Linked DNA regions of Struthio camelus. The protein of the gene in region 1 interacts with the protein of each later gene in a pairwise test. Links are inferred from orthologs where the notes say so. Each region holds a gene or a part of one and is shown in the gene's direction. Other genes may lie near its edges. The genes, in order: DEUP1, ESRRG and TXLNB.

Region 1 (7,159 bases):
GAAGTCCCCCATGAGAACCAGGGCCTGTGATCGGGAGGCTACTTCCAGCTGCCTGTACAAGGCCTCATCCACAACTTCTTCCTGGGCAGGTGGCCTGTAGTATACCCCCAGCACCGTGTTGCCCCTGTTAGCCTGCCCTTTAATCCTTACCCATAGGCTCTCAACTTGCTCTTCATCCACCCCCAGGCAGAGCTCCACACATTCTAGTTGCTCCCTCACATAAAGAGCAACTCCACCACCTCGCCTGCCCGGCCTGTCTTTCCTAAAGGGCACATAGCCATCCACGACAGCATCCCAGTCATGTGAGCTATCCCACCATGTCTCTGTCACTGCAACGAGATCATGGCCCTGCGACCGCACGCAGATCTCTAACTCTTCCTGCTTATTCCCCATGCTGCGCGCATTGGTGTACAGGCATTTCAGAGAGCCAGTCAAGCATGCAAGCTTCTCAGGAGAGGTGCAAGAGCATCCTCCATAGCCCTGTTCCATGCCGTCTCCCCTGGCGGCATGCACCCACTGGAGGCATCCTGACTTGAGCGGTGTTTTACTGACTACCGTGTCACTATTCCACTCCCCTTCCCCCATCTTGCCTAGTTTAAAGCCCTCCTTACCAGGCTGGCCAACCTGTTGGCAAAGATACGCGTGCCCTGCTTGGTGAGGTGGATCCCATGTCACCCCATCAGCTGTTGATCTTCAAACAGGGTCCCATGGGCATAGAAACTAAAGCCCTGCTGCCAACACCAGCAGCGCAGCCAGTTTTTAACTTGGAAAACTCGTCTACTCCTCCTCCCGTCCTTCCCCCTCACAGGCAGGATTGAGGAGAAAACGACCTGGGCTCCCAGACCCTTAACCACCGTTCCCAGAGCTCTGAAGTCCCGTTCGATGTTATCAAACCTGTGCCACTGAAAACTAAAAGTATAGAGATATCATAATATAATTGGAATTTAAGATGGTTTTTTTTGGTGATCCCTTCAGACAGTATCAATTCAAATGTGTGCTTTAGAGGTGATATTTTTCGAGAACTTTCCGATTTTAACAAGAATAACTTCTAACAAATCCTCACTTCAGTGGATTCAGTTTGGTACAATATAGCAACTGAAGCAACTGTGGCACAATACATAGCAACACATGAAGTAGAACTTATGAAGTTTGGCAGAGTCATATTTCTTTATTTCTTTTTTAATTGCCAGTGATCACTGACAGGAGACTATTTCATTTCATCTTTATAAGTAAAAACAATTTAATTAGGAACTATTACTGTGTATAGAGCATTAGAAACTATCTCCAAGCTGCTAGACCATAGAGTATTATTTTTATGAGGCAGTAGCAACAAAGGGAAGACTACATCACGCTAAAAGATGTTACAGGAGTGCTAAGCATTATCGTGAGTTTCTAGAAAAACACATAAGCAGGAAGCTTTAGAAAAGGGATTATTTCTTTTACACATGCATTATCTAGCATTACGCTTTGTGTTCATTAAAGTATGACACACAAAATGATTAAATACCTGTTGTCACAGTAACAGGGCTAATAGCACCTTTGTCCCCTTTCCGCGTTTTCTCAGAGCACTACCCTTAGTTTTCATATTCCACGCTCCTACCTATTACAGGATGAATTCTTACAATTCTCCGCTTGTAGACCAGGTCCCAGCCGGTGGTATCGCTTATTGATGAGTATACCTGCTAGATGCAACTAAATCCAAGCTCCTTCTGTTCTTTCCTTCAGTGATCTGACAACCTTCTTAAGAATAGAGTAGTTTGCAGTTTAAAGTAGAAAAAAAAATGTTTAAGAACAGCACTCTGGGTCTGCCTGTGTTATGTCAGGATTTGTCATCTCCTGCCAGTAAATTAGGTAAACACCTTCAAAATCCTCAGGCAGATCTTTATGCCTCAGTCCAATTTTCACAAACAAAAATCCCTCTTAAAAGGTTCTTTTTTAAAACGGCATTTTTCTCTTTTTGATCAGATTTTAGGGATTTTCATAGGCTATATTGTCTCTCAGTGATTTCTGTGTATTTGCTGAAGGATGGCTTACAATGACCTTTTTTTTTTCCTTTCCATTTGTCCCTTCTAATAGAGCACCTGTAAATTAAGTTGATATATTCATACTATAAACATCCAAACTGCTTAACATATAAAATGTAATTACTACACTATTTTAGAGCTGCTATGAATCTGTCACATAAATATCACTAAAACCAGCTGATTTCCATGCTAAAGAAAGAGCATGCATTAGTATGTTTGTTACAAGAGCTATGCTGAGCCTACTGCAAGAAAATGGTCTTTCTGTATCACAATCAAATTTGTCATCTGAGATTGCAAGATAAGGTGTGAATGTACTCTATAAATATAAACTGCTTTTAAAATTAAACACAGAAATGCACTTAGCTCTTACCTGTCATTACATATTCCACTACAAAAAATCACATCTTAAATAATTAAAGTGAGAAATATCTAGGACGATTGCCCAGTAGGCATATAATTATTCATCACTTACATTACATCTCAATTATATTACTTAGCTTAGCATCACCTCTTTTATTCTGCTCTGGAAATATGCTAATTGTAGACCACAGATTTAATTTGTTAGTAGAATTTTACCAAATTCTCAGAATGATTACATGCTAAAAGACTATTGCTTTACTTAGGACTTCTCTGAAACCTGCTATTACAATGTCTTAGTGGAACAGATTAGTTAACAGAATTTAAGTAGCCTCTCCTTCAGCAACGGCTGTCAAAATTGCTTCACAAATCCACGAAGCTAAATGCTTCACAGATGCACAAATCCACAGAGCCTGACAACCTCACGTAAAGCCCACACCAGGGCGAAAAGTCCTGCTGTAGCAGAAGATTCACTTTCCCTAGTTCTCTCCAAAGCAAACATCTGTGGTATATGCTCTCTTGGGTGGACAAGACCTGTCAATACTGTCACATACAAGAGGAGAAGTTGAAAATAAAAAGATCGAGTTGCAGATTTTGGAGGACCAGCATTTCTCTTTATACTGTTTTTTCCACTGTCTTTGCTACAGCTATTGACCTCAGCTCGGTGCATGAATGCCCAAACGAGGCTGAGCAAGGGGTTTGCTACTAAAGGTGCAGCACATTGTATGACCGGGATCACTACTTATCCCAAAACGTGGCTCTCCCTACACGCTCTTGCTACTGGCTAGTCGTGCTGCTGGGCACCTTCCTAGTCAATTCCCGTTGTTTTTATAAAAATATCGATGTTGTTTCTTGTCTTGATTGACATTCAGTCAAGTCCTGTTTTGTCCCTGCCCTATCTACTTCCTTCTTTCCTGCAGAAACGTGATTATATAGCTTTCCACTTATTTAAGCATATAAGCTGGTTTGAAAGTAGTTTCCTCTTTTGCTGGCTATCATAATTCAAAGTATGTGTAAATATCATTCATAAAACTTTTAATGATTCTGTATTTCTTCCCCTTACTCTTCAACTGCTTCAAATATTACTAATTACCTCTCATTTAAAGTCAACAGATAAAAGTTTGGGGCCTTGTAAGCCAAGTTCCAGTGAAGAGATGACGTGGATCAGCAAAAGCAACCAGAAAATGTACAAGAACTGATATGGGATTTTTTTAATATAGTGAATGAGATACTTAAAGGCACCTCAGGGGGCTAGAAACACAGCTCTGGCTAATTGCAATGGGAATTGTCCTCCTAAAACCCTTTGAAAATATCGATATGCAATTTCCAAACTGTATCTCTGCATTTTTTTTTAAGTTGCTGCCCACAAGGGACGGAAGTTACATTTGGGGATAGCTGGTTTCCACCGAGAGCGGGTGACACCGGGAGGAGGTTCAGAGAGATGCCCCGCGACTACGGCGGCAAAGCTCGCTGCAGCTGTTCCAGATAAACCAACGGAAGTTTGCTGGCACCTACATTAAAAATTATGTCGACGGCGAGTAGCCCCGTCCTCGCCCCGCCGCCGCCGTCTCCGCCTCGGCCGTCCTCGCTGCCCGCAGCCGCGCCCCTCACACGGCTCCCGGCGGCGCCGCCGCCTTCCCGCCGCCTTCCCGCCTCGCCCCGCGGCCCTCCCCGTTACCGCGGCAACGGCAGAAGCCGCCCGGCGCGGCCCGCAACGGCCGCCGGGCGGGGCGGGCGGCGTCGGCCGCGGGCGGGGCGGGAGCCGGGGCGGCAGGGGGAGCGCGGCGGGCACAGCGCGCTGCCGAGCCCACGCCGGGGCCCGACCGGCAGCCGCTGCGAGGGGCCGAGAGGAGCGCGCAGGTAACGGCTGGGGGGCAGGGGGAGCTGGCCGGCCCGCTGCGGGGCCGCTGGGCGCCGGGGGTGGCACCGGGTCGGGTCCGCCGCGCCGTCCGCTGCCGCCGCCGGGCTCCTCGGGGGCGTCCGTCGAGAGCGGCGCTGCCCGCTGCCGGTGTCCCCTGGGGCGCCCATCCCCACTGCCCTGCACCAGTGTCACCTCAGCTGCCTGTCCCCAGTACCGCCAAGGCTGCCTCTATACCTGTGTCACCTCGGCTGCCTGTCCCCAGTACCGCCAAGGCTGCCTCTGTACCTGTGTCACCTCGGCTGCCTGTCCCCAGTACCGCCAAGGCTGCCTCTATACCTGTGTCACCTCGGCTGCCTGTCCCCAGTACCGCCAAGGCTGCCTCTATACCTGTGTCACCTCGGCTGCCTGTCCCCAGTACCGCCAAGGCTGCCTCTATACCTGTGTCACCTCGGCTGCCTGTCCCCAGTACCGCCAAGGCTGCCTCTATACCTGTGTCACCTCGGCTGCCTGTCCCCAGTACCGCCAAGGCTGCCTCTATACCTGTGTCACCTCGGCTGCCTGTCCCCAGTACCGCCAAGGCTGCCTCTATACCTGTGTCACCTCGGCTGCCTGTCCCCAGTACCGCCAAGGCTGCCTCTGTACCTGTGTCACCTCGGCTGCCTGTCCCCAGTACCGCCAAGGCTGCCTCTGTACCTGTGTCACCTCGGCTGCCTGTCCCCAGTACCGCCAAGGCTGCCTCTGTACCTGTGTCACCTCGGCTGCCTGTCCCCAGTACCGCCAAGGCTGCCTCTGTACCTGTGTCACCTCGGCTGCCTGTCCCCAGTACCGCCAAGGCTGCCTCTGTACCTGTGTCACCTCGGCTGCCTGTCCCCAGTACCGCCAAGGCTGCCTCTATACCAGTGTCACCTCGGCTGCCTGTCCCCAGTACCGCCAAGGCTGCCTCTGTACCTGTGTCACCTCGGCTGCCTGTCCCCAGTACCGCCAAGGCTGCCTCTGTACCTGTGTCACCTCGGCTGCCTGTCCCCAGTACCGCCAAGGCTGCCTCTATACCTGTGTCACCTCAGCACTGCCTGTCCCCAGTACCGCCAAGGCTGCGTCTATACCTGTGTCACCTCGGCTGCCTGTCCCCAGTACCGCCAAGGCTGCCTCTATACCTGTGTCACCTCGGCTGCCTGTCCCCAGTACCGCCAAGGCTGCCTCTGTACCTGTGTCACCTCGGCTGCCTGTCCCCAGTACCGCCAAGGCTGCCTCTATACCTGTGTCACCTCGGCTGCCTGTCCCCAGTACCGCCAAGGCTGCCTCTATACCTGTGTCACCTCAGCGCTGCCTGTCCCCAGTACCACCAAGGCTGCGTCTATACCTGTGTCACCTCGGCTGCCTGTCCCCAGTACCGCCAAGGCTGCCTCTATACCTGTGTCACCTCGGCTGCCTGTCCCCAGTACCGCCAAGGCTGCCTCTATACCTGTGTCACCTCGGCTGCCTGTCCCCAGTACCGCCAAGGCTGCGTCTATACCTGTGTCACCTCGGCTGCCTGTCCCCAGTACCGCCAAGGCTGCCTCTGTACCTGTGTCACCTCGGCTGCCTGTCCCCAGTACCGCCAAGGCTGCCTCTGTACCTGTGTCACCTCGGCTGCCTGTCCCCAGTACCGCCAAGGCTGCCTCTGTACCTGTGTCACCTCGGCTGCCTGTCCCCAGTACCGCCAAGGCTGCCTCTATACCAGTGTCACCTCGGCTGCCTGTCCCCAGTACCGCCAAGGCTGCCTCTGTACCTGTGTCACCTCGGCTGCCTGTCCCCAGTACCGCCAAGGCTGCCTCTGTACCTGTGTCACCTCGGCTGCCTGTCCCCAGTACCGCCAAGGCTGCCTCTATACCTGTGTCACCTCAGCACTGCCTGTCCCCAGTACCGCCAAGGCTGCGTCTATACCTGTGTCACCTCGGCTGCCTGTCCCCAGTACCGCCAAGGCTGCCTCTATACCTGTGTCACCTCGGCTGCCTGTCCCCAGTACCGCCAAGGCTGCCTCTGTACCTGTGTCACCTCGGCTGCCTGTCCCCAGTACCGCCAAGGCTGCCTCTATACCTGTGTCACCTCGGCTGCCTGTCCCCAGTACCGCCAAGGCTGCCTCTATACCTGTGTCACCTCAGCGCTGCCTGTCCCCAGTACCACCAAGGCTGCGTCTATACCTGTGTCACCTCGGCTGCCTGTCCCCAGTACCGCCAAGGCTGCCTCTATACCTGTGTCACCTCGGCTGCCTGTCCCCAGTACCGCCAAGGCTGCCTCTATACCTGTGTCACCTCGGCTGCCTGTCCCCAGTACCGCCAAGGCTGCGTCTATACCTGTGTCACCTCGGCTGCCTGTCCCCAGTACCGCCAAGGCTGCCTCTATACCTGTGTCACCTCAGCTGCCTGTCCCCAGTACCGCCAAGGCTGCCTCTATACCTGTGTCACCTCAGCGCTGCCTGTCCTAGGTATAGCCAAGGCTGCTGGATGCCACTGCCACCTCAAGTGCCTGTCCCCTGTCCTGTCAGCACTGCTCCTGCGCCCGCGTCAGTTGCCGTCTGTCCCGGCGGAGCCGAGCCTGTCCGGTACGTCTTTGCCATGCACTGACAGAGCCAGGGCGCTCACGCGTGCTGTCGTGCCCTGCTGCGTGCCCCCTGTAAAGCTAGGGCTGCCGGGTGCCAGCGCCGTGCGCTGTGTCTGCCGGCCTGTTTGGGCTGCTGTCCCTCCCCGGGAGAGCCCCGCTGCTCGCACTGGTTGCAGCTTGCCCTGCCAAGGAATGAGGACTGTTTCATGCCACCCTGCTATTGGCAATTTGGCTGGTTCCTGTCCTTGCGCGCAGCCAGCTTTTCCGCACATCCTTTGTCCCACCAGGCCCACAGAACCGGATTGCGCTTGATGGCTGTGTATCTCAGTGCCGCGTG
Region 2 (7,653 bases), on another chromosome or scaffold:
CTCCTCTGAAGAAACTTGCACTAAAAAAAGAGCTTGGGGTGTAACAGTGAGCTATCAGTATTGAAGTACATGCCCGAATTATCTTTAGGGAGTAAGACCTTTTTTTGGAGGGTGACAGGCAGTGTCTGTGCAACTTGCTTTTTTTTTTTTTTTCCTCTCTCTCCCCTTTCTTTGTCCCCCCCCCCCCCTTTTTTTTTCTTCACTTTTTGGGTTTTGTCAAAGGCTTTGGAAAAGACATTTTGTCAAGAGAATAATTTTCATTTACAGCAATGTGAACAGTTTCTGTACTGTACCAGTGAAGGCAATCTTTTAAATATCAATGCCCATGCCCTTGAAAATAAAATGAGCAGAAAATATGGAGTATTTTTTTGAGACTGGATGAACTGAATGTAGCTTGGAAACATGGTAAGGTGATTGAGTTACTTCACGGATGCTTTTTTTTAATATGCTGTAACTGGGTGTAAGAAGCAAAATCTAAAAGCGTTACTTTGTGCATTTGTGAATGCGCTGTGGAAAAGTTCTAAAGAGCGCTCTGAGATGGTGCTGTGTGAGCTTGTTTCCCTAAGATCAGAATAAGGAGTAATTAATGCTAAATACAGATTGAAGTAGCAGATGGTTTTAAAGTAATAACCTGCTATAGTTTGCCCAACTGCGTACAAACAGGTGAGCAGAATTTGGAACTTTTATAGCATTAGGTTTTTTTTTTTAAGGCATTAGCAGTGTATCCAGGGATGCCCCAATTACCTTCGAGTAAGGAGCACAAAAGCCAAGCGCGTCTTAACACAAGCAGACAGTGACAGTGTTGTTCTAACGTTGATGTTACTTGATGTTACTGCAGCACAGCACGTTTGAGTTGTGTTTCTTTACTCAGTGGTTTTGAAAAAAAGAGAAAATCACTTATTTGATGATACTTGGAAATTTCTTTCAAACTGTTAAAATATGATATTCCACAGCTAAATTTTGAAAAAGGTAGCAAGGTATATAGAAAATTTCCATCTAAAGTAACAGTATACTTATTTTCAAATAAATTCTCAGCAGGTAATAGAATTATTTATATTTTTGCGCCTACATAGATGACTTTAGTTTGTTGCTCTTTTTGGTAAATACATGCTTGACACAATATACTGTGCTGCTTCTGCAAAGTGCCACTGAATCTTACTTCTTCAGTTGCCTTGAGGTGGTTGTGTTTTAAGAATCTGGCTGTTTGGATGCCTCAAAATGTCTATAGAATTTAAGTGTGAAGGCGCTTAAAGATGTACTGTTCTGTACACAGGAATAATCATATGCACAGCAAGACATGGAGATATAGATGCTGCTCAGTAATGCCCATTGACTAGTGCAGACACTCATGGCAGTTTTCCCCCTTCCCCTCTCTGATTCCATTACCACTGTTTTGTATAGACTCCTTGTGGTAAGATTTTGCATTGTAGATTTTGATAAGATGTGTGTTTGCATGCGTGTTCTTCTTCTGTAGCTTCCGATAAAATTCAGTAAACTGACGTCTGCTTTTTTTTTTTCCAACTACTGTTTTTATTTCTTTCTAAAGCGGTACAGAGAATCTTGAGACAATGAAGTTACGCGTAGCCCCAGTTTATTTGCTGCAGTATTCTTTTTATCTCCCCCCACCAACTGATTGGTAACTGTGAAACCCAAGTTCAAGAACGTAGTTGGAATTGCAGGCCCCAGTCTGGTGGAGGTGACACTTTCAGTCCTAGGGGAAGAAGCCAACTGCTTTGTTTATCAACATGTAAAGTATAGCACTGTATTTCTGGTTGTCCAAGGAGCAGCACTGGCAGAGAAGCCAGCTGCCTGCTTGGATGAAAGATGGTTGATAGAAAGGTAGTGATGGTTAATAGGGTGAGAGGAAAAATGGATTTGGAGGTGTAGAGGGAGAGTGGGGGGAGAAGCCAACGAGGTAGTGGAAAGTGTGTGAACGTGAAAAGGAGAGCATACTGGAAGACATACCGTGACAGAAGGAAAGAGGTTATCATGTTTCAGCACCTAATATAAATACACAATCTTGGAAGATAATGAACAAAAGTAAAAATAAGCTAACCCATGCTTTGTGTTTTTTAAAATGGATTAATAAGTCATATTTTAATGAGGGTGTATTCCAGTGAACTTAATACTTTAAAGTGACTTTTATCAAATTACTTGTGTATAGGGATTGATGGCAGGTGATTTTAAATAAGAAAGTACATACACATGAAAAGATTTGAAGAAATTTTAGCATACAAATACTGAAAAATAGCAACTTTGAATATAAATCTATAAATGGACACACACACAGACACTCAGTACAAACAATATATTTGTATTTTGCATGGTTTGCTAATGTGCACATGTAAACCGATTTGTAGGATCTGTGCTTTGGGTTTATACAATAATAAAGAAATCTATAGATAAAATAAACACATCATATTCAAGTGCTGATTTGGTTCCAAAATCTGCATTTATCAAACTGCTTCTTAAAGAGGATGTTCTAGTATTGTAACATGATTAAATGCTTCTCATTTTAAAATTTGATTAAAAAAAAACCCACCCTTTTTTGTCTGTGATGTTTCTTCAGTGCTTGGATTTTACTCTACATTTCAGAGCTCTTTAATTCACTGCTCAAAAGCGAATTTACATCTTAATTACAGAGTTCACATTTAACAATATAGACAGCATAATGCTACTGTAATTAAGCTTTTACTACCTGCTTTTATACAGTAGTCAGAGACGTAGTTTTGCTGTGTGAGTTCTGATCGCTAAAAACTTGCACGTATATTTACTGCATTTGTAAGAAGCAGGCCCAGTCTTTACATCAGGTTAAGTACATAACACTGGAATCTCTCTGCCGTAAACAGATACAAACATGTCCAGTGCACTAACATATTTTGCACTTGGGTTCTGTTGTTTTATTTATTTGGTAAAAAACTGTGAGATGGATTTGGAGAAGGCATTTGTGTTCCCATTTGTGAGTGGTATTAATGCAGTCTGAGGGTGTGCACTGATTTGTTTTGATCTAAAAGATTGCCATTTGCATCATGTAGGGCTCCAGTCACAAAAGATTTTGTGAGCAGTTGAGCTGAATTATGAAAAATCATGGGCTTTCTGCTGTGTTTTTTTTTGTTTTTATTGCCAGAAACAGCCTGTATCTATTTCCTGGGAGAGGCAGGAATAAAAACACTTTGTAACTAGCAAATAGTAGTGTTTTAGTTGTAATATTAAGTAAAAATAGTAGTTTTTGAGAGAAAAATATTGTGCTCTCAATTAAATACTGATCCTTTTAAAATGTGTGTGGGGGCAGAGTTCAGTGAGAACAGCGTCTCTGATTTTGTTGTATGATCGTTTTCTCAAAACAAGTCTAATCAGAGACCTTTCATTATGACAGGGCCAAGCAACTGTGAGTTACAAAAGCTAGTGGTTTGCTGGAATCGTGGCTGGTGATGTGTTTGCAGGCATGTGTTTACTTCCCTTTCAGTTTGGTGAAATTTACTTTACAGAAAACAACCCCCCCGCCCCCCAAAACATAGTAGAGGTCTGTGTGCATTCTGAGGTTTAACAATGCAGACCCTCTACAATGCGGTCCTTATCTTGTTAAAATGAAACAGACTGAGTTAGTCCACTATAATCCCTCCACACTTGCAGAAGAAATTGATCAGTTCTGGAGCTTTTCCTGCTGTCTACTAGATCTAAATATTTACATCCAAACACCTAAATATTTGTATATGGGGATACATGTTAAATACGGCCATGTTAACACGTATCTAACCTGGATAGGAAGGCACATTCCTGCATACACTCCCAGTCGCACCCATGCTGTTAGGAAACGCGGCTGAGTGCCAGTTTTGTTTTGTATGTACATTTTTCTTGTAGGTACAAAATCAGATTTTCACTATATGTGTGTGTGTGTGTGTGTGTATGTGTATGTGTGTATATATATATATGTATATAAAAAATATAAAAAATCCCAGCAACACCTCCCTCTCCCCCCCTTCCTTCCCCCCACAAGCCGTAACTCGGGTGGCAATGAGAAGTTGAGTTAGCAGGCGCTTCGGCACACTACGTTTGATGGCAGGTGCCGAGCGACTCCGGAGGTTAGGAGAAGCGGGGTGAGGAGCGCCTGTCCAAAGCAAAGCCCTGCCGCACCGAGAGCCCGAGCCCCCAACCGCCACAGCGCGACGCACCAACAGATAACGGCAGCACAAACTTCGTTCTCTACCTTAGGCGGATTTCTTCCCCGCATTAAGTGAGAGGCTGCGTGTTATTTCTTCCTGGCAAGGTACCTGGCCAAGTGTGCTTTAAGTTCGAGCCGGCCTCCCGCGCCGCGGCAGGGGAGGCCGGCGCCGCCGTGGCCCCTCGCGGGCCGGCCGCGCGCTGACACGTCTGCGGGCTCGGCCCCAACGGCCGCCGCCGCCTCAGGCCGCTCCCCTGTCCCCACCCTCTACCTGCCGCGCGGGCCGCGCGCCGTGCCGCCCCGGCGCCCCTGGCGCCTGATTGGCCGCCGCCCCACCAATCGGCCGCCCCGCCGGGCCGGGGGGACTGCATATGTAAAGCCCTGCTTCATATTCATGAGCGCCGAGCGGGGCTTTAAGTCCTTGATTAGGCGCGCGGGCGAGCTTTTGGTCCCCACTGGCCGTGCCCGCCGGCTTGTCACCCGGAGCGCACCTGCGTGGCGCGGCGCGGCGCTCGGCCACGGAAACTTTGGCTTGCGGCGGGGGCGCGCGAAGAATGGTCGCCGGGCGCACATGGATTCGGTAGAACTTTGCCTGCCGGAGCCGCTCTCCCTGCACTACGAGGAAGAGTAGGTACCGCTCCCCGCCCCCCACCCCGCCGGCCGCCGCCTGCCCCCCCCCCGCCCCCCTCCCCCGCACACGGCAAACGCGTAAAACGCCGCTGCAGGTAACGCCGGGCCGTCTCGGTGCGCGCGAGCCGTCGCCTGCGCCGGCCCGGGGCAGCTGCGCGGCGGCTCCGCGCCGGGCGGGCGGGCGGGCAGGCAGGCAGGCAGGAGGCGCCCGCCTGCCCGCCCGCCCGCCCGCCCGCGGGGTGCTCCCTCCGGGCGGGGAGGAGCGGTGCTGCCCGCCTGCCCCGCGCCCGGACAGGTGTGCGGGCTCCCCGGCTGCCTGGCGGCGGCGAGGGGAGGGACCCCGCGCGCGCCCCCGGCGCCTCCCCCCCCCCCCAACGGCGGCGGGGTGACGGTTGGTGGGGAGCGGCCCGCCGCCGCGCGGCCCTGAGGTACCGGCCGCTCCGCCGGGGCAGCAGCCCCGCAGGAAAATCGGAGAAGGGTGCGGGGTGTTTTGGTACTTCTGTAGGGGACTGGTGGCGTGCGGCCGCTCCGTGCCCTTCGGCGGCGGCCTCTGCCCTGCCGACGACGGCGAAATACTTTTTGAACGAGCCGCAGTTGCTCGCCGGCACTTGCTAGCCGCCCCGTGGTGCGTGCGGATGGATGCGCCTACGTGGGGTGTCTCGGATGGGAATCGCGGAGCCCAAACAAAATCAGGCGGTCTGGGGCTGGTGAGTGGCTCGTAAACTTGATTTCAGCCTGCAGCCAGGATTAAATATTAGTATATCATGGGAGCTGTCACCGATTCATTTTTCTTTATGTCGAGCCACTTAGGTAGCTGTGCCTTCGTGTTGCACTAGCAGCGCCGGTGATACCGAAGAAAAAACAAGCTAATAGCAAGCATCGCCCGAGACGCAGTGTGTGGAAAGGCTGTGTTGAGAGGTGACACTGTATTATAGGTAGATGCCCACTAGCTGTCCTTAGCGTCTGTGTATTGCATTGCTATTTGTAATTAAGACAGAGATGAAAAGTGAATTGCAGTGATTATGTACTGGTGAAATAATACAGGAAGTAAGACAAACAGTAACAAATAGACTTGCTCATAGGAGCAAGCAGTCTGGGAACAGGAGGCAGCAAAATCCACTGTAATGTTCTGGGATAAATAAAATAAACAAAAGGTAAGATGCCCACTCTGGTGTGGTTTATAGGTCAGTGCACTGTGCGCTGCCTTATGGCGTAAGATAGCTTCATAAATTTAAGAACGCAGTTTCCACAGCTTTTACTGGTATCAGAAGTTTTCTTTATAAAATACACAAAGAGTAAGTTTTATTTTCTGGTTGTTCTCCCCCCACCCCCAAGCTTTCTTGAATTTACCTTCTTACAGCTAATTTGAATGATTAGTTTAGATAAGCCTCTTAGAGTAGATGCATTTCAATGAAATCGGGGCACATGTCTTTTTGGCTCTGGTGCAAGATTCAAACTAGTTTTTTTCCTCTTCTTTGGCTCAATTAAAAGTCATCTTAAAACAATCCCGGTATATTGCCCCAACTCAGGGTTTCAGGAATACGTGGTTGCATGGACACACATACACAAAAAACTAATGCTCAGAAACGTCTGCTTCTCTGTTTCTGTTTCAATTAGTAAGCCTCAGAGTTTTTACATGTTATTAATATTCATAGTAATTCTCTCTTGACTATATGTTGTTGCTTGTGTGTCCACATACAAGTGTAAGGGCACACAAAATAAATAGTAGACGCTTTCTGCAGTTCTCACGTTGTAGATGAAGGCAGAGAGGATCTAAGCTAAAAATTGTCGGAACATTTTGGGAGTGCACAGACATCTGTCTGACCATCACTAGGTATGCTTTGATTTTAAGGCAGAGCATGTTAAAGAATGCAATAACTTAAAGCCAGCTGCAGCATTGACTTTTTGCTTTTTCAGTAATAACACTGATAATTACTAATAGTTAATAAACTAACACCAACAGATGCAATAAATATGTCTGCTCAATTTGACATATGTGTCAATTTAATCATTCTAAATGAATCAGTGTGCTCATAACATGAAATCTCCTTCAACCTCTGATTAAAATGTAACGTTGACTAAAGGATTATAGAGCGGACTTAATTTTACTGACTGTTTTAACAGTTGTCACAGCTGTTGGAAGAAGGAAAGGCAATTGAAACACTCCAAAAAGGGGGGGGGAAGGGGAGGACTAGTTTAGTAAATTTAAATATGATCTCTGAATGCCAAACATAGAAAACTGGGTAGATTTGTAACTCCAGATCGCTTCGGTGCACTGTGTACATTTGCCCTTTGTAGCTCCCTGTGTTTCATTAATTTGAACCCTCAGCAGTTTCTCTACTTTATCCATTCAAAAACGTTCAACAGAGTTTAAGCATAAAAGAAATTTAGCTGTTATAGCATGCATGGATTTTTATTTTGTAGCGGAAGAGATAAAATACACAAATGACAAAAACTAAAGAGTGTGTAGAACGGATGTAACGTTTTAAAAAGTGGACGTCGTCCAGAGTCACTGTAAATAATCCAGTGCGATGATGGTCAGTGTACGTATCTTGTATTTTTCTAACGCTTCTCATGTTGCAATATGAGAATGGTCTGTGGAGTTATTGTGCGAGTCTGTGTGGGATATGCATGCATGTGGATGAGCATGAGGATCATATGCATACTCACGCATATCAGGACATACACAAATATGTGGGGGGTGAATATATGTTAAATATAAAATATTTTATGTCAGTTCCATTCTTCTATGAAATATTTTGGCATAACTTCTAATTCCCGAAGAATTTATTTTAGAAGCACCTTATATTTCAAAAAGAAGGAAAGGGATGGATTAAAATCACTTCTTTGTGAAGTGGGCA
Region 3 (7,630 bases), on another chromosome or scaffold:
AGTTTTGACAAAGAGCCCAACAACTCCACTATGAAATTTATATTGCAGCCTGCTTAGCTAATATTAGAGCATTGCACAAGAGAGTGTGAAGTTTATGGAAGTCTATAAAACGTCTTATCCGCTGCTATTCAAACAGAGGTAATACAGAGAACTTCAGATTTCTCTGTTTGTCCGGATGAGTGTTTAAGGGCTTGTTGCTCAAAATCGTCTCTATTTTTTTTTCCAGCTACATTAGCTGGTCTAATAACTGATGCTATCTCTGTCTACAAAGCTTGTACAGTTATATGTCCTCCATCAACTTTGTACAAAGTTTAAAGTAAACACTTGAAGCCGAGAATGGATTCCTGGAATTTTCCAAAGGTAGAAAATTACACCAAGCCTCTGAACACAGCTGCTATGATACAGAAGTTAAATAGTTGTATTTTGTATTAATTATAGGCAGTATGTTAGGTTGCTGCTTATAGGCAGGCTGCGTTAAGGCTAGCATGTGATCTGATGAGAGGAAGAGCAAGGTATGAACAGAGGTTTGGTGATGGATATGAAGCATTTCTAAGTAGTAGCAGACTTGCAGAAAAAGAAGAACAGTTGTGGTCATCACAGGGAGAGTTTTAGGGGATAGGTGAGAAAAATGGTCAGACCTAACCCACAAAATAAAAACAAATGGCCTCTTGTGGAGTGATGAGGACTACTTTTTGATTTTGCTTTTAATTTCTGAATGGGCATAACACTGTAGGCCAGAGAAATGCAGAATTCAAGAAAACATGACATGTTAACCTTCTTCACAGACCGTTATTTACAACACAGCGCTGAATTTGCTCTGGCTGAAGTCAGTGGCAAAACTGCCATTGGAGGGAGCTGATTAAGCCTGCAATCAGGTGTCCCATCTGCTCTGCTCTGGAGGATCTACGTCCTTGCTCCTGCAAACTTACTAGGGAGTGTTCCCGTTCTCAGTCAGTCACCCTGCTAAAAGCTGGTTTGGCCAAAACATGGACTTGAAGCCTTTACTCAATCCTCCTTGTAAAAAACACCTTTTCTCTTTTTAAATCCGCTTTATCCCACTGTTCCTGTCTCATCTGGCAAGATTATTTTTCAGTGGCCAAGAAGCCTCGCAGGCCTCATATTTTCTCTTGTCCTCCCTTCAGTTTAATCAGGATGAAAATAAGGTGTTTCAAGCGTTTTAAGACGGTAGTGTGTTTGCCTTTGGGCTGTGTGGTCAGTCTGAGCACTGGGTGATTGCGGACTTGTCCTCGCATTGTAGGGGAGAGCAACAGCTGATCTATCACAAGTCGCCTTTGCCCTATAAGGACAAGAGCAACCTCTGATGGGCATCTCTCCCCGTCCCCTCGTCCGCAGATACAGACCTGCTACAGAAGAGCCTGGTGCGCTGTGCTGCAAGCCAGCAAACCACACCACATGCTTTCTTTCTCTTTTTCTCACGCTTTCGCCTTCTGAGAAGAGATTCTCTGTCCGGACCTTTTAATCAAACACTTTACATTGAAGACAGCAGTGCACAGATAGTCATGCCGATTTTTTTAAGGAGCTCTTTAAATTGTGAAACTTGCTTGAAGGTGTTAGGATTCAATTCACAGTTTATATATTGAAACAGAGCTGGAGTAATTTAACATGACATAAAAACATGTATACGTATGGCTACAGAAAAGCTGCAGTACTTCGAGTTTGTCCACTAGGTGTAGCTGAAACTCTGCATTTCTTACTGGTTTGAGAAAAATATTTAGAAGAGCAGCCTTTTAATTTGGTTCATAATATATATTTTAACCAAATGAAAGGTAGTCAGAATGAATAGTGACAGATGCTTACGGACTGGAGCCTTTTCATGATTCTTTATATTTCAAGAATTCTACAATACCATCACAAAAATTAGATTAATATGCACAGAAGGACTCTTTACACGGTTTCCCAACCTCTAGCCCAGGATTCTTCTTGACATGGTTCATTTTACCTGTAAATATCACAAGCAATGAAGTCCTCTGAGTAGAAAGCCATTATAAGATTTGGGGGGTTAGTTTTTGATTTTTTTGTTCTGTTTTGTTTTATTTTGCCTCCCCTTTCTGCCCAGCAGAGTTGCCAGGAGCTCTGGCAAAAGAGGAGATTGGCTCTGCAGAAACCGGTCGAGTGAAGCATTTCTGAATTCCAAAGCTGAATTTTCCATTCTTAATCCAGCCTAAGGAAGTAAGGGAGAATGTTTTACCTCCTTGCTTCTCTTTTAAGTCTCTGTAGTTCTTGCTATACATAACAGCTTTGCCCTAAATGTTGTCCTCATCCCTTGCTGACGATAAGGGATGACAAAATGAGAAAAGACTTAGCATAGAAGGAGACCCATTCTAAGATTTTTTGGTTTCTTTTTTAGTTAGCTTTCAAAAGACAGTGATCTTGATTTATGAACTGTGAAGACTAACAAGAATTAAGATTATTTTTTTCCACTGTGATTTGCCTAGATAACGTTCATCACCAAAATCTAGATTGATGATACTCTAGGTGAAGTTCTGACCCAGATAACTGCTTGGCCAGTGGTGTCTAAGCCAGAAAATCAAGGCTTGACTGATGGATTATATAGGAGAGCTGTATACTTGGAGACCCCTTCAAAGTGCAGGCAGTCCTCAATGCTGAAACTGCATTGCATATTCTAGGGCTAACCCAGTTATTCCAGCGTTCCCTTAAGCCACCCTACCAGTGTCAATGGGCAGTGTCAATGCATTACTCATTTTAACGGGACTGTTCATTGCTTGGCTAGGGTACAGAGGTCTTGTAAATCCTTCTTGAAACTCTGGAATGGTATAGCTGGAGTCCCTAACTGAAAAAGTTAAAATGTTGCATGAGCATAGCACAACAGATGGAGATACCAGCCATCCTCTAACTCCCAACACCTCGGATTATGACGATAATTCAAGATGGGTCAGGATTCACAGTCGCTGTGATGACCTGGTGCCAATTCAAAGTCCTTAGTAACTTCACTCACAAGTAATATCATGTATTTGAGTATATTCTCAATGTGATGCTTGGGTCAGGAGTGGATTGCAATACTTTCCCGTCCATATTTTCATTTGGTCAGTGGCTTATGCAAGCCTCTTTCATTGTGAGGAAATTGCATGTTACTTTTTAAGGAAACTTAAATATATGCAGGCTCAGTTTTCTACATTCGTGCATGTTACATCGCAGGGGTATGGATGTTTTCCTGTTTGTGTTTATTCTGCTTAAATTGTGAAGAAATAAAAGTATATAATATTTCATCTTCAAACCAATTCAGGCTGCCAGTAAAGCATCCACTGTTAGCAAGGGGGGTTTCATACTTTCCTTTAGAAACGCAAGTTGCCAGCTTATACAAAGGCCGTTTGGATTCGTGATTCCTCAGCATTTGTTACCTGAAGTGGATGATCATGCTAAAATGCTGCATTTCTCTCTTCTTCCACTTTTTGATCAAGGTTACCTGGAAGATCTGTGACCTGTGGGTCTCCTCAACACCTGACGTCCTAGGAAGGAACAGAATGGCAGAATAGGACTTTGACATTGATAAAGCATTAAAAGGACCCAGCTAGTCAAACATTAGCTGGTAGCATAAAAGGAAAGAGAACACAGGCCAGATGAAAAGGAGTTCTGTGTTCTCTTTGTTTGCTGTTGGTTGACACACAGAAAGTTTCTGGGGGACTTGTTGCTCCAAAGGCCCTCCAATGACTTTTTCCTTTTTACACTTAGTTTGTTTGGCAAATAAGTGAGGAAGAAGGATAGGACTAAGGACAGGTCTTTTTCCATGCTCTGGTTGGTGAAACAGTCCACAGCCTTACAAATAGTGACTATCCTGCCTACTCTACTAGCTGATCTCCCAGTGACAAAGGCTCACAACAAGCACTTTTCCCTCCTCTCTATACAGCCTGTGTAGGCAGAGAGAGAACTTTCAAGTTCCACGTGAGTTCCCTCATACAAGGAAAATTCTTCACATAGTACTGCTGATCAGTGGCAGGTGGTTTCATACTGCTTATATTGCATAAAAGTTGTCCTAAGGTTGGTGTGAAGCTCACCAGGGTAGAAGGACACTTTCTAGAGGTCTCTTTCCAACAGAAAAACTGAGTAAATATATTTCCTACCCTAAGGATATTCTCAAATGTAGTGCTTAGGGTGCCTGGCAGGTTGGTAGGAAAGCTGCTGAGATTCGCTCTCTCACCCACTGCAGCCACTGTTGTCTTTCTCAGTGCTCCGAAGAGACTGAGACATGTTAAAGGGAATAAAGCTCGTAGAAGAGATGCTGATAGAATGAGCATAAATCTAAATGTATTTATTAGCCCAGTTCCACCCCGACCTTTTTTCAAAATTTACATAGCTTTATGGTTTAAGAATTTTAAGGGGCTCTCTTAATTGAAAAATAGAGGCTAATACTAAAGAGGGTGAGTGGTTTGTTATTTTGTGTTGCTGTGACACACGGTGGTCCAACCAGAGAGCAGGAACGTCCAGTACAAGCATGCAACAGAAAGGTAGCCCTGGCCCCGGACAACTTACACATATAAGATAGGGAAGGGGGGTAGGATGCCAAATGGTAAGAAAAAAGAAAAGAAAACATACTGAGAAAAGGTAACATTTATTAATTATTAAAATGACAATATCACAGTCCCAGCTTCTTATTTACATGGTCCTGTGTGAGCCATCATAGTCACAATCTCGTAATTGTCTCAGAGGTCCCACAGACATCACATACATTTCCAAGTTTGATTTTCTGTTGTCATGTTCTGAGGACTGTTCTTTTGAACAGGGAAGAGTGCTTTATACTAGCTAACACTTATGCCCTCTGGTCCTATCATTTGCCTAACTTAGACCTCCTACTTTATGCAAAACTACACAATTTTTAGAACATCTTCATTCAAGTTGACTAGCTGAATCCTCTGAATTTCACATCGGATGTAAATCTCTTTGCAGTAAGGGCTTTACCCAACATTTCTGTGAGGTGGAACTCCCCTTCTCTGCTTCTAATTCCAGTCCCCGTGTATAAAGCAAGTGTGCCACAATTAAAGTAGAAAAGAGTCTGAACACACCTTATTCCCATCTGCATGATATTGGGCAAATCATTATTTATTGTTGATTAACATATAACACTTTATGCCTCAGTTTACCCTTTCAAGTAATGAATACAGTATGCTTTTTTAGCTCATTGCTGCCTAATGTTGAACTTACTTAATAGATAATATTAGATCCTTGCATGCAAGTTACTACACAACTGGAAATCACTGTTACAGAAGCTTGTTGCTACATCTTTAATTCTAAAAGTTTGAATAAATATTTTAACCACAGAAAACCATATTTTGTAGTAAAATACCTTTTCGGTCCACAAAACATAACTAACAACCAAAGAAAAAGTTTAATAAGGAAAATGGTAATTAGTGGTATGTCTTCCAATGTCATAGGAACACAATATTACAAATGGTGCTGATGTTTTCAGAGTATCAGAGTGAAGCAGAATTGTTTTGACCAGTTCCAAGAAGGGTACTAAATAGTTGATTTTTCCCTGCTTCAGCAATTCCCCCTACTCAACGGGTTTGGTCCCCCTACTCAACTCAACTGAGCTGCATGAGCAACTCAATGTTCATTCAGTCCACATAATTACTCTGAGGTTATTGAGCAACACTGCAGTCCAACCCATACTCTCTTTTAGAGCACTGCATTTACAGGGAAAAAACTTGTTAAATTCATAGCAATAGTAGAGTTTCGGAGGTACATCTGAAGATATCCAAGACCACATATTACATATAAATCTGTCTGCATACTCCCGTTGAAGTCCGTGATCTAAATTAGGGACCAGATCTGCTTCTCACAATAAATATGCTTGCATAAGCTTTTTATGTACACAAAATGAATATTTATTATATTCAAAGGAAAGTACTGACATTGGTGCCACGTCTGTCGTATTTATCCTTCAGCTCAATAAAGTATGTAAATTACTCTGATTTTCTTTCCTTTATTCATCCTTTCACCTGTTGGGTTTTATTTTCTTCTGTCTTTACTCATTTGGTCCCCCAAATGTGGCATGTTTAAGAAGGTGATTCTAGCAAGAGAGCTGGAAAACCCTTAGCCACCCATACACTTAAAGCTGTTTCACAATTTTAATCTGTTAATCTGTTAATGCCAATATACTTTTCATCCTTTCACATTCCTCATGTAGTGGTCCTCTTTCCATGCACATCTAAAAAAGGTCATTGGTGTTTACACCATCAGCAAGTTTAGACATATCACAGTGCCTAGTCCTCGATTCACTGTTAGTTCCTCCTGAACTAACAGATCATCAGCCATTCTGTCCTTCAGTCATAATGAATAAGGCTTTCATTATGACTTAGTTCACCATCACTGTGTCTATTTTTCCCTTTCTTTCTACACATCTTTGTCTTTCAGCACAAATGTCCTTATCATTTACAAGCTCTGTGTAAATATTATCTCAATCTATGTCATTCCCATTGTATCAGTCTCTATTCTTCTCTGTTGTAGTCTTAGATAGGTTAGTCATAACCTTCGTGTTGCTCAGCACCCCCTGCCCCCAGCTTACTTATGATTGTCACCAGAATTTGGACCTTGTCCTTTCTAGAGAAGGATGTTTGGTTCCAATTATGAGATGTTTTACAACCCATGTACAGCCCTCACAACTGAGAGCCACAGCTAGCCTTCAATTCCTAATTTGCTTTATTCTCTATTCTGCTCACTAGCAGGTGTTGCTTGTGAGATCAATGGGAGTTCCACATATGGAGCAGCTGCAGGACTGAGCCTGTAATAGGTGTTTTCCATTTCTAATTTTTGCAAGCCAGTTCTAGCAACAATCTAAAAAATGTTGCATATTGATAACGAAGCTAATGCGAGGGAATATTGTTAGCAAATGGAAGGAACTAGAAAAGGATGGGAGAGAGAAAAATAGCTTTACATAAGGCAAGTTAGTTTACATTATCCTATTGGAATAGCTAATATTCTTTTCTACAACTCCCCTTTGACCAATGTACCCTTGACATTTAAGTTACTTCCACATTATGTCTGATATGTAATTTACAACATGATTACATCTGAGTGGGACCCAGAGATTTCCCCTGGCAGGATCACAGAATATCCAGGCTTGACTGGGCCCAACTCTCTTCCCACAGGCTATTGATAGAAGGTCATTTTTGGCTGGAGGGCCATCGTTTTTAAATAAAATTGGACTAAAAGAGACAGGGAAAAATTATCCTAGGATTCAGTAGTTTCTTGAAATTTCGTACTGGATTTTACACTAGCTCATAACCGTGTAAATCAGCAGTACATCACTGCAGCACCAGGTTAACTGAAAACAGATAATACTGCTCTTTTTCTTCCCAATAAATTACCTGTTTATATTGGAGAAGGGTTGTTTCCAGACTGCAGAGATGCATTCAGGTGTGACTGCATGCCTCGCCCAGGGGATTCACACACCTTATGTGTGATTTTTCAAATGAAGCTATTCACCAGTTTGCCAAATTCTTCAAATAGCATATAGCATAACGTATTTATGGAGAGTCTATCTCTTGGGCAAGCTGAAGTGGCGGAAATTGCCTGTAGAAAATTGAAACCCTGGTAATTGATTTTGCTTGCTTTTAAGGTTTCAGAAGGCTTGAGCCTTTCCAAGAATAAATCA

The links.
Region 2: the proteins of DEUP1 (region 1) and ESRRG interact in binary tests that used the Homo sapiens proteins (3 or more experiments, as listed by UniProt). The two-hybrid records come from large-scale screens. The link is inferred for Struthio camelus from reciprocal best matches to the Homo sapiens genes DEUP1 and ESRRG.
Region 3: the proteins of DEUP1 (region 1) and TXLNB interact in binary tests that used the Homo sapiens proteins (3 or more experiments, as listed by UniProt). The two-hybrid records come from large-scale screens. The link is inferred for Struthio camelus from reciprocal best matches to the Homo sapiens genes DEUP1 and TXLNB.

The regions. Positions count from the first base shown.
Region 1 is NC_090942.1:212,794,192-212,801,350, reverse strand, and holds the start of DEUP1 (deuterosome assembly protein 1), read left to right. Parts: upstream 1-4,153; 5' UTR 4,154-4,241; intron 4,242-7,159. UniProt on the Homo sapiens protein: Key structural component of the deuterosome, a structure that promotes de novo centriole amplification in multiciliated cells.
Region 2 is NC_090944.1:116,100,211-116,107,863, reverse strand, and holds the start of ESRRG (estrogen-related receptor gamma), read left to right. Parts: upstream 1-4,556; coding exon 4,557-4,789; intron 4,790-5,166; exon of another isoform or gene 5,167-5,431; coding exon of another isoform or gene 5,432-5,499; intron 5,500-7,653. UniProt on the Homo sapiens protein: Orphan receptor that acts as a transcription activator in the absence of bound ligand. Binds specifically to an estrogen response element and activates reporter genes controlled by estrogen response elements.
Region 3 is NC_090944.1:75,316,918-75,324,547, reverse strand, and holds the start of TXLNB (beta-taxilin), read left to right. Parts: upstream 1-4,626; 5' UTR 4,627-7,630. UniProt on the Homo sapiens protein: Promotes motor nerve regeneration. May be involved in intracellular vesicle traffic.